2 linked regions of the Daphnia pulex genome follow. The protein of the gene in region 2 interacts with the protein of the main gene of each other region in a biochemical or structural test. Links are inferred from orthologs where the notes say so. Each region holds a gene or a part of one and is shown on either strand. Other genes may lie near its edges. The genes, in order: protein seele-like and E3 ubiquitin-protein ligase MYLIP-like.

Region 1 (3,592 bases), on a different chromosome or scaffold from region 2:
ACCCGTTTTGGCGCCCCACGTATATTAAACCACGTCATTTATTTCTTCTTCTTCTTCATCATCTGTTTTCGTCTCCTCTCCCAAGAATCTGTGAGAACCCGATATCGTTTGACAACTGGTTCTCTCGCTCTCCTTCTAATCTTTCCAACTCTCGTTTCAACATCGGGCTTTATATAAACTTGATCAATAAGAGTTAATTGCCCTATCTGTGTTGATATTACATCATAGCTCTTGTTTCCTGGAAGAAAAAAGACAAAAAACGTTTACCCCACACACTCACCTCTCCTCCCCACCACCCTCCACCCTCTGTATCGATGTTTACTACACGCATATAAAAGAAAAAAACAATTTAAGCATATTATATTATAACGTGCCCTGACAACCCCCCGCCCGAATTCGTCACCACCACCACCACCACTCGATATATTTACTTATAATTATACATTTACCTGTCGTTTGTAATGAGAAGAAGACTAAAGAAAAAAGAAAAGGATCTTTCTCTTCGGCTTACGTACACCCCCCTTTATTTGTTTTCCTTTTTCCCATCCATTATGATTATGAATTAACCCCCCCATAGACTTTCAAACAATGTTTCATGGATAAAAATCTTTTAACTATTATAATCCTACATAATTCGATCAAAAAATACATTAAATAACGAGAGCAAAATATTAGTGGGCAGTAGTTTACCATCAGTTTTGGTATAATAATTAAATAGAATTATACTTCTCGTTTATATCTCGATGTTTATAATTCATTTTTTTGTGGGGGGGTTGGAGTTTCCTTTTTCCTTAGAAAAACCAAATCAATCACAAAATTACAATTCTTCGCGTTCGAAATCGTAAGTCTCCGAGGATTCGGAACTGGAATCGTCCGAGTCGGGGACCGCATCTCTGGGGCAGACCTCGGCCAATTGAACGCAAAGCTTTTGGTGGAGTTGCTTCTCGCTTTTGGCGAACATGGACACGATTTCATCTTCGTATTCCTCGACTAAACCTTGACACTATATAAACCCCCCCCCCCCCCCCCGAAAAAACAATAACAAAATGAGATGTATACGTTTCGTTATCATTTAAGATATGGTGTCAAACAATATAAACTGCATAAATCAAATTTCCAATCTTACGTAGGAAGATAATTGCTCGTTCACTTCGGGATTGGGAACGATATTGACGTTGCTCATCTCGGGATTCATGCCTTTCCCGTCTGGAGTTTCAATTCTCAAGAGCGTCGGCCTACCAGTGGCTTTGTAATTGGCAACGACGTAATTCCTGAACATCGGGCAGACCTTGTCCATGACCTAGTCATCAAATTAGATTGTTCATTTATGTGTGATGATGAGTCCAGCCATTGCAGTTTTTTTTTGCTGATTATTTGAGTTATATAACATGGGAGAAAGAGGAGAATGTGGAACCAACCTCAGAGAGGAAGAGCTGGCTGCGTGCATAAGGTACCTGTAACAAATGATAGGTGGCTCTTGGTTATCTCATCTACGATAAAACAGGTTGTTGTGGTTTTGAAAACATCTTGAAACTGACCAAGAACATGTCAGTAACACAATATGTGTGCTGTGAATTCAAGATGTTTGATATGAATTACTTGATTAGAATGTAAGTTACCAAGTTTTGTTTGACGTTTCCTTTTCCGTCAAGGCGGAAACTGCCCATGTCAACTTTTTTGTGAGGGTCCACTCTATCAACAGCTATTTCCACTTCATCCACCAACGCTTTGCACACTGTAATAAAGAAAGGAACATTAGCAAAGGGTTTTTAGTATGCTGTATCAAGGAAAACATGGAACTAATTGCTGGCTGCTGTGATAGAAACACTGCCAGGAAATCGCTAGAAGTAGAAACAGAGGTGATTATTGATGTATTATAAAAGTTACCCATGCATCTCAGAATTTCTCTTTTCGGCACGGAAGGAACATCGAAATTCCCGTTGGCATAATCAGGTTCATTAGCTGTGACGTATGCGGCCACGAACACGAAAACAAAGACAGACAATTTCATTTCCAACATTTAAAAAGAGCTGCCAACTAAAATAGACTAAACAAAAAATAAAACTGGCACAACTACGGAGGAAAAAGGACAACACTCGTGAAAAAACCCAGTCGAAATAAAGGAGAAAAGAATAACGTAAAAGAAAAAAGCACTGGAACTGGTCGGCGAATCACATTTGAACACATCGACATCTGTCAAAAGCTGACGACGTGGTAGCCATGGCGACGTTGTCGAGGGCGGGTCTTTTTTCTAATCCACACCCACCAACACCTCTATGTGTGTATCTAACCTACTATACTACTACTACTACTACTCGCGTCAAAAGCCCGAAAAAGCCATAAGCTAACGAAAAGCCTAGAGTCTATCGAGAGAAAAATAAAATAAAAATACAAGACGGTCGGGGGGGAACGTGTCGTTTTTCATCGTTTTTCTTCCCGTCGACTGAATCGGGATAAAGAAAAAAGTTTGTTTGGCTTTTCTTCTCTATTCTCTCGCCATTATCGCCATTGAGACAGTCTCGAGTTGATGGAGCCCGAAATTGACGTCAGTGACGGGATGAAGAAAACGTCACCGTCCAAACGCACAGAGCGCCGAAACTTTCTTCTTATCCAGGAAAAAATAAAAAAGCCTTTCATTATTGCCATCAGCTGTTGGGATTATCTCTAATAATGACGGCCAGCACATAGAGAGAGAGAAAAAAAAGAAAAAGGATCTCGCACTTGGCCCAGGCACATCCCAGTCGGCGCCATTATTATCACCCGCACTCATCGAAGATCTCTGCTGTCGTCCAACATAATCATCATCATTTAAAAATAACAGCTGATGCAACTCAACTCGATCGAGTATATATAATAGTATTGAGCCATATGTGTTGCCTAGTATTATATTCCTAAAAGAGAAAAAGAAAAAGAGTTATATATACAAACAGACGCTAGAGGGTGCGAATCGGAAACGTCTTTTACTATCTGTGCCCCCGTTACGTCGACGTCGTGTATACACAGGAGCGGGAGCAGCAGGAGCATAGACGTAATGGCGTAACGAGGTTGAAATCAGCGTCGGGAGAGATGTGAACGGAAACGGAAGAAAATGATGAAGGAAGAAGCTAAATACAGGAAAAGGGTGGAAAGAGAAAAGAGAAAAAGAAGAAATACGTGACGGTGATGGTCGATGTATATAAGACACACACACACACAGGCAGCTATATAGAGCTGGATGTATAATATTAGGGCGTCTATATACTTTTGGCATGCGCATCGTCTAATAATCCACAGCATCCAGCGCTGGCTGGCTGGATGGCTGGCTGTGCCGGCTGTGTGTGTATATAAACAAGCGCGTGCGCAGTTTGCGCACATTTTCTGGAAAGGTCAAAGTTGATCCAGCAGCAACTTGCTGACGTCATTTGGCTGGGGAAATTTTTCCGCGAAATTTTTTATTTTATTTTTTTATTTTTGCGGAACCTGCGCTCTTCTCCTCATCGATCTTTTATTTCTTTTTTGATTCCGGTGGGGTGGATCAACTTATTAATAGGATAGATGTATGTACAGTATGTTGGATTATTAAGGGGGCGGAATTTGAGTCTTTTTATTTTTT
Region 2 (4,406 bases):
TTTTGAATCAGTCTGCCAGAGCAAGATGTAACAACTAAAAAATTTTAAGCTTTTTTTGTGTTATTTTATTATTAATATTTTGTTTCACAGTAAACACTATTAGGATTGCCAAACCTGAAAAAGCAGCTATGGTGGAAAACTTGCTAGTGAACATGGCAAGACGAGGACAGATTGGAGGTCAACTTGGAGAAAATGAGCTAAAAGGCCTGCTGGAGCAAGTCAGCCAGCAAACCAAACAAGAAACGACCGTCAAATTTGACCGAAGGCGTGCAGCTCTCGATGACGAAGATGACGATTGATTGAATGCAAAGCTGTAGGTTCTTGAAAATCTCCTTTGTTCTGTATATATATACTTTCATTTTTGATTCTTTGTCAAATGAGTGGAATACACAATCTTGACCCTCTTTTTAAATAGCCCAATGACTTGTTGACACTGAATAATTGAATCATAGCCAAAGAATTAACAGAGTAGGTGAAATGTAAAGCATAATTTATCAGCCTCTGGAAAAATTCAAATTGGAAAATACAAAGCCATCACATAAAGTTAGTTGTACAAATACAGAGGTATTTAAAGTAAGTGAAAACAAAAACGGATCAAGCCGCTCTTTTTCCGCCAAATTACGGATCACAGAAGTCACGTAGTTTGCATTGAAGTACGAAATATATCAAAGTTGGGTTAGGGGGTAGCGCAAGTAGATAGACCGTTAGACCTCGATTTCGTATTGCTCCAATCGTTTGTTTCCTAACCAAAAAAACGTATTACGTCACACATGTGCATATAGATTAAACAAAGAACTAAAAATACCATTGTTCATTGTGAATCCTTCCTTAACGACCGACAAAGGTAAAAAAATAGGCTGCGTATGATTGGCTGGAGCTCGGCACACCGGGCACTGAACGCAACGCTTTGCGCATGAAGAGCAAGCAACGGCGTGTCCGCAAGGACAGAACACTGCCGAAATATCATCATCCATACAAATGCGACAGAGAAGAGCTTCCTGCAGACGACTGAATTGTTCTCTCGTAGTCTATCAACAATAAACAAAATAAATTGTAAAAATGTAATCTAAAATCGTTCAACCCAATAACCGTCTACGTACTTTGCACGAAACGTCAGAGCATGATGTAAGTCCTGTAGGAAAACTCAAGGAAGGCGATGACGGAGCAGGAACTTGTGTATCCCCAGCTTGATAAAGGATCCGTCTAGCATTGTCGTAAACTTCCCGACAGGTGCGTTGAATGTCAAAAATATACTTTTTTCCTGCAAGATAACAAATATCGTGGGTTGACATAGGTGAATTGAAAAAATAAATAAATAACGATTTCGTGGCGCTACCAAGATCTGTGTTTTCGTTGAAGAAAGACGCAATAGTTCCTTTTAAATCTCGCACGAATTGCGACGTCACGGCGCTACGTACAGTTTCGCAACTATAAAATGCATGTTTTTCAGTTATGGACCGATACAGCGCGATTGATGCCTGATAAGTCTCTAACTTGAGTGAGGCGCACTCGACTCCACCGAGGTCATTCCGATGCTTCAATAAAAATCGCACATTATGATTCGTGGCAGCTTGAATTGCACAGAACGGGACGCTATAAGGGAAAAACAGATTTTTTTTTTGTTTCTATTTCGATCATTTGAATAGCGAATTAAAAAAGAACTATACCTCAAGCGATGTTCGCTTTCAAGACTTGTTATGCATACACCTTGTGGGCTTACTGCTACGGTACTTTGTACCGATTCTCGCATAGATGCACTGTGTTCGGCAAGAATCCAACGTGCCCGAAACGTTTCGGTACCGTAGTCTTTTAATTGGCTGACTTCTTTCAACATCCAATACTCGGCCAAAGTGGAAGACATACCCTAAATTCATAACAACAATGTTGATAATGGTTCCAAATGATTGCTTTAGGAGGGCAGCAACCTTTAGGGTTTGGTGTTGTTGAAGGATTTTGGCTATCCACTCATCCCTGCTGGCTTGAAATGATTCAAGGTCTTTAACAGTCACATGAGGGAAAAAACTGAGTAAGTAAGACTCTGTTTGGCAGGGCATTCCTGTTGCATCTCCCATTTCCGATTGAGCTACAAGAGCACAAATTCTAACTGTAGCTGCTGGTTCTGTTACTGATAACCTGCCTTCAATCAAATCAACTTTGGCTTGCAGATAGAACTGATGCCTAATTTTCAATCAAATTGTTCAAATGGCTGAACATATTGTATTGTGATAAAAAATATTGGTTTTGCCTTGTGGATTCCTGCAAGATGAGATGAGGTGGAACCCAGAATTTTACTTTCAATCTGAAACGGATGGCTGCAGGTTTGCTTCCATCAGTGGAGGTCGGTCTGAAAGGATGAGCATGTATTTCTTGTCGGATTTCATTTCTCAGGTTCAGCCAGATTTCTTCTTTTCTGACTGTTGTGAACTGGAGGCCAAAGTAATCTGATTCAATAATTCCAAGCTTTTGACAGACCTAAAAATATTTTGAAAAAAAAAACATTAAAACTCAGATCAAAAAAATTTTTACATTCAGAAAAGTAATTTGTTTCACCTGACTGAGACACTCCTGCCCCGTGGCTTTGTGACTGAGTCGTACTTCTATTACCAAATCTGCATTTTTCGTTGCGTTCGGCTGGGATACCAGACACCACATTTTCTACTTCGTTAATCAGATGTGAATTGAAGAAATTTTGCAATGAATTTAAGTTATAAGGAGAAAATAAACATCAAACAGCACGCCTCGGTTTCTCATCGAAAAATAATCAAGAATAGCTTCTTCTGCTTGTTTTTTTAGGTTTTAAGGGAAAAAATGGGAGGGGAAAACAGCTGATACGGTTGCTAGGCCGTTCTCCAACCAATCACCACGGTTTATCCAGCAGATTCGGACCGCCTTAAAGAACACAATTTGAAATTGCGTACACGCCCTTTATAAACGTATACACTATACACGGTGGGGAAATGGTTGGAGTTACCACAAAGGAAATGCAACGAAATGGACAAGCATATATGGACATTACGAACGGAAGGGACTATGGTGCATTACGCAGGTCTTTTGGAAACAATTATTTTAAAAAGAAAAAGAAAACTGTTGAAATTTGCATGAAATTTTATTTTGAATCACGACTTTCTCTAGCAATTTCCCACCTTTCACAGTGCAGATAGAAAGCTATAGGGGGAAACCTCTTGGTCCACTTCCCATTGAGGTGTCGAAAAAATAAAAAGGAAGAAAAATATTTGAAGCACAATCAAAATGCCACGAGGATATTTGATCTCAATTCCATGCAGATAAAAAAAAGGAAAGGGAATTCCCGTAAGCCCAGACTTGGATTGGTAAAAACACTAAATTCCCTTTTCCCTCTACCAATCTTCTTATCAATGATAACGTTAACCTATGAATGCTCCCAGTTCAGTAAACATATGCCAATCCGACACATATTAGTGTCACTGTCGGTACTCTTCTACAAGTCTTAGAGTACACGGGGCTTTATACTTATCTCACAAGGAATAAAAACGTTTGTAAAAATGCAGAGTACATTATAAGAGTGCGATGTAATAAATCTATTTGTTTTTTAAAAAGGAGAGATACTCGAACCGGGGTTTTTTCCCTTGTTTTACGTGACAAGGGCGTTTTTAACGACACGAGATCTGCTCACTTTCATTGCCGCTCATCGTCTCTAATTTCTTTAGACATATTCATTACATATTCATTACATTTTCAGGATAACATGTTCGTTGGATTGCTGCTACATCCCATTTTAATGAAGAGTATACCAAGGCGTTTCTCTAAGAATTTCATAATTATTGACACAATGAATTCAAGTGAAACTAAACGAAAAGCTAAAACAGCGTTTATTTGCACGCTGACGGATGTTAAAACAGATACGCGCTGATGCGCATTCTGTAGGTTGCTGCAACACCCACTTTTCTAACGCTTCTTCAGTTCCGCAAGTTTACCATTCTTTGGCAAACAAAAATAAAATGCGCAACCACTATGACAAGGCCGTATTTGATGACCAGAATCCAGAAAGTTGAACCTCGGTTTCAATGTAATATGCGTAATGCGTATCTATGTGTATGAATGCCCTTTGATGAATCACTCCGCTCATCTGTGTGTTGTTGAATCATCATTCCGCTCAGCATTCTCACCAGATGGCATTCGTTTCTTGTCAAAACCAAAACAAAGGTGTGGGTTAGTAACTTCGTACGAAACTTCAGATAAAAAAAGGAATTGTTTCGTGGTTAGTTTTTAACATACTAGTGTGACACCGTGATCAACGTACCTACTTAACTATTTGGCTACAAATGGCCTACGAGCAGGAAGACCTTTACGAGAATGTTGTCTTCCGGAATTCACAAATCGTTTACCCCCCAGATATGGCCAGCAACTTGACTCCAGCTACTGCTGCC

The links.
Region 1: the proteins of E3 ubiquitin-protein ligase MYLIP-like (region 2) and protein seele-like form a complex in vitro, tested with the Homo sapiens proteins (2 studies listed by BioGRID). The link is inferred for Daphnia pulex from reciprocal best matches to the Homo sapiens genes MYLIP and CNPY2.

What each region holds. Positions count from the first base shown.
Region 1 is NC_060024.1:9,048,648-9,052,239, forward strand, and holds protein seele-like, read right to left. Parts: upstream 2,218-3,592; 5' UTR 2,021-2,217; coding exon 1,888-2,020; intron 1,736-1,887; coding exon 1,620-1,735; intron 1,455-1,619; coding exon 1,419-1,454; intron 1,301-1,418; coding exon 1,127-1,300; intron 1,020-1,126; exon of another isoform or gene 1,004-1,019; coding exon 818-1,003; 3' UTR 592-817; downstream 1-591. UniProt on the Homo sapiens protein: Positive regulator of neurite outgrowth by stabilizing myosin regulatory light chain (MRLC). It prevents MIR-mediated MRLC ubiquitination and its subsequent proteasomal degradation.
Region 2 is NC_060027.1:2,177,934-2,182,339, reverse strand, and holds E3 ubiquitin-protein ligase MYLIP-like, read right to left. Parts: upstream 2,888-4,406; 5' UTR 2,653-2,887; coding exon 2,551-2,652; intron 2,473-2,550; coding exon 2,246-2,472; intron 2,179-2,245; coding exon 1,926-2,178; intron 1,865-1,925; coding exon 1,668-1,864; intron 1,594-1,667; coding exon 1,101-1,593; intron 1,029-1,100; coding exon 806-1,028; intron 743-805; coding exon 705-742; 3' UTR 474-704; downstream 1-473. Other genes in the region: programmed cell death protein 5-like, read left to right, coding at 1-27, 91-299; arf-GAP with Rho-GAP domain, ANK repeat and PH domain-containing protein 3-like, read left to right, coding at 4,302-4,406. UniProt on the Homo sapiens protein: E3 ubiquitin-protein ligase that mediates ubiquitination and subsequent proteasomal degradation of myosin regulatory light chain (MRLC), LDLR, VLDLR and LRP8. Activity depends on E2 enzymes of the UBE2D family.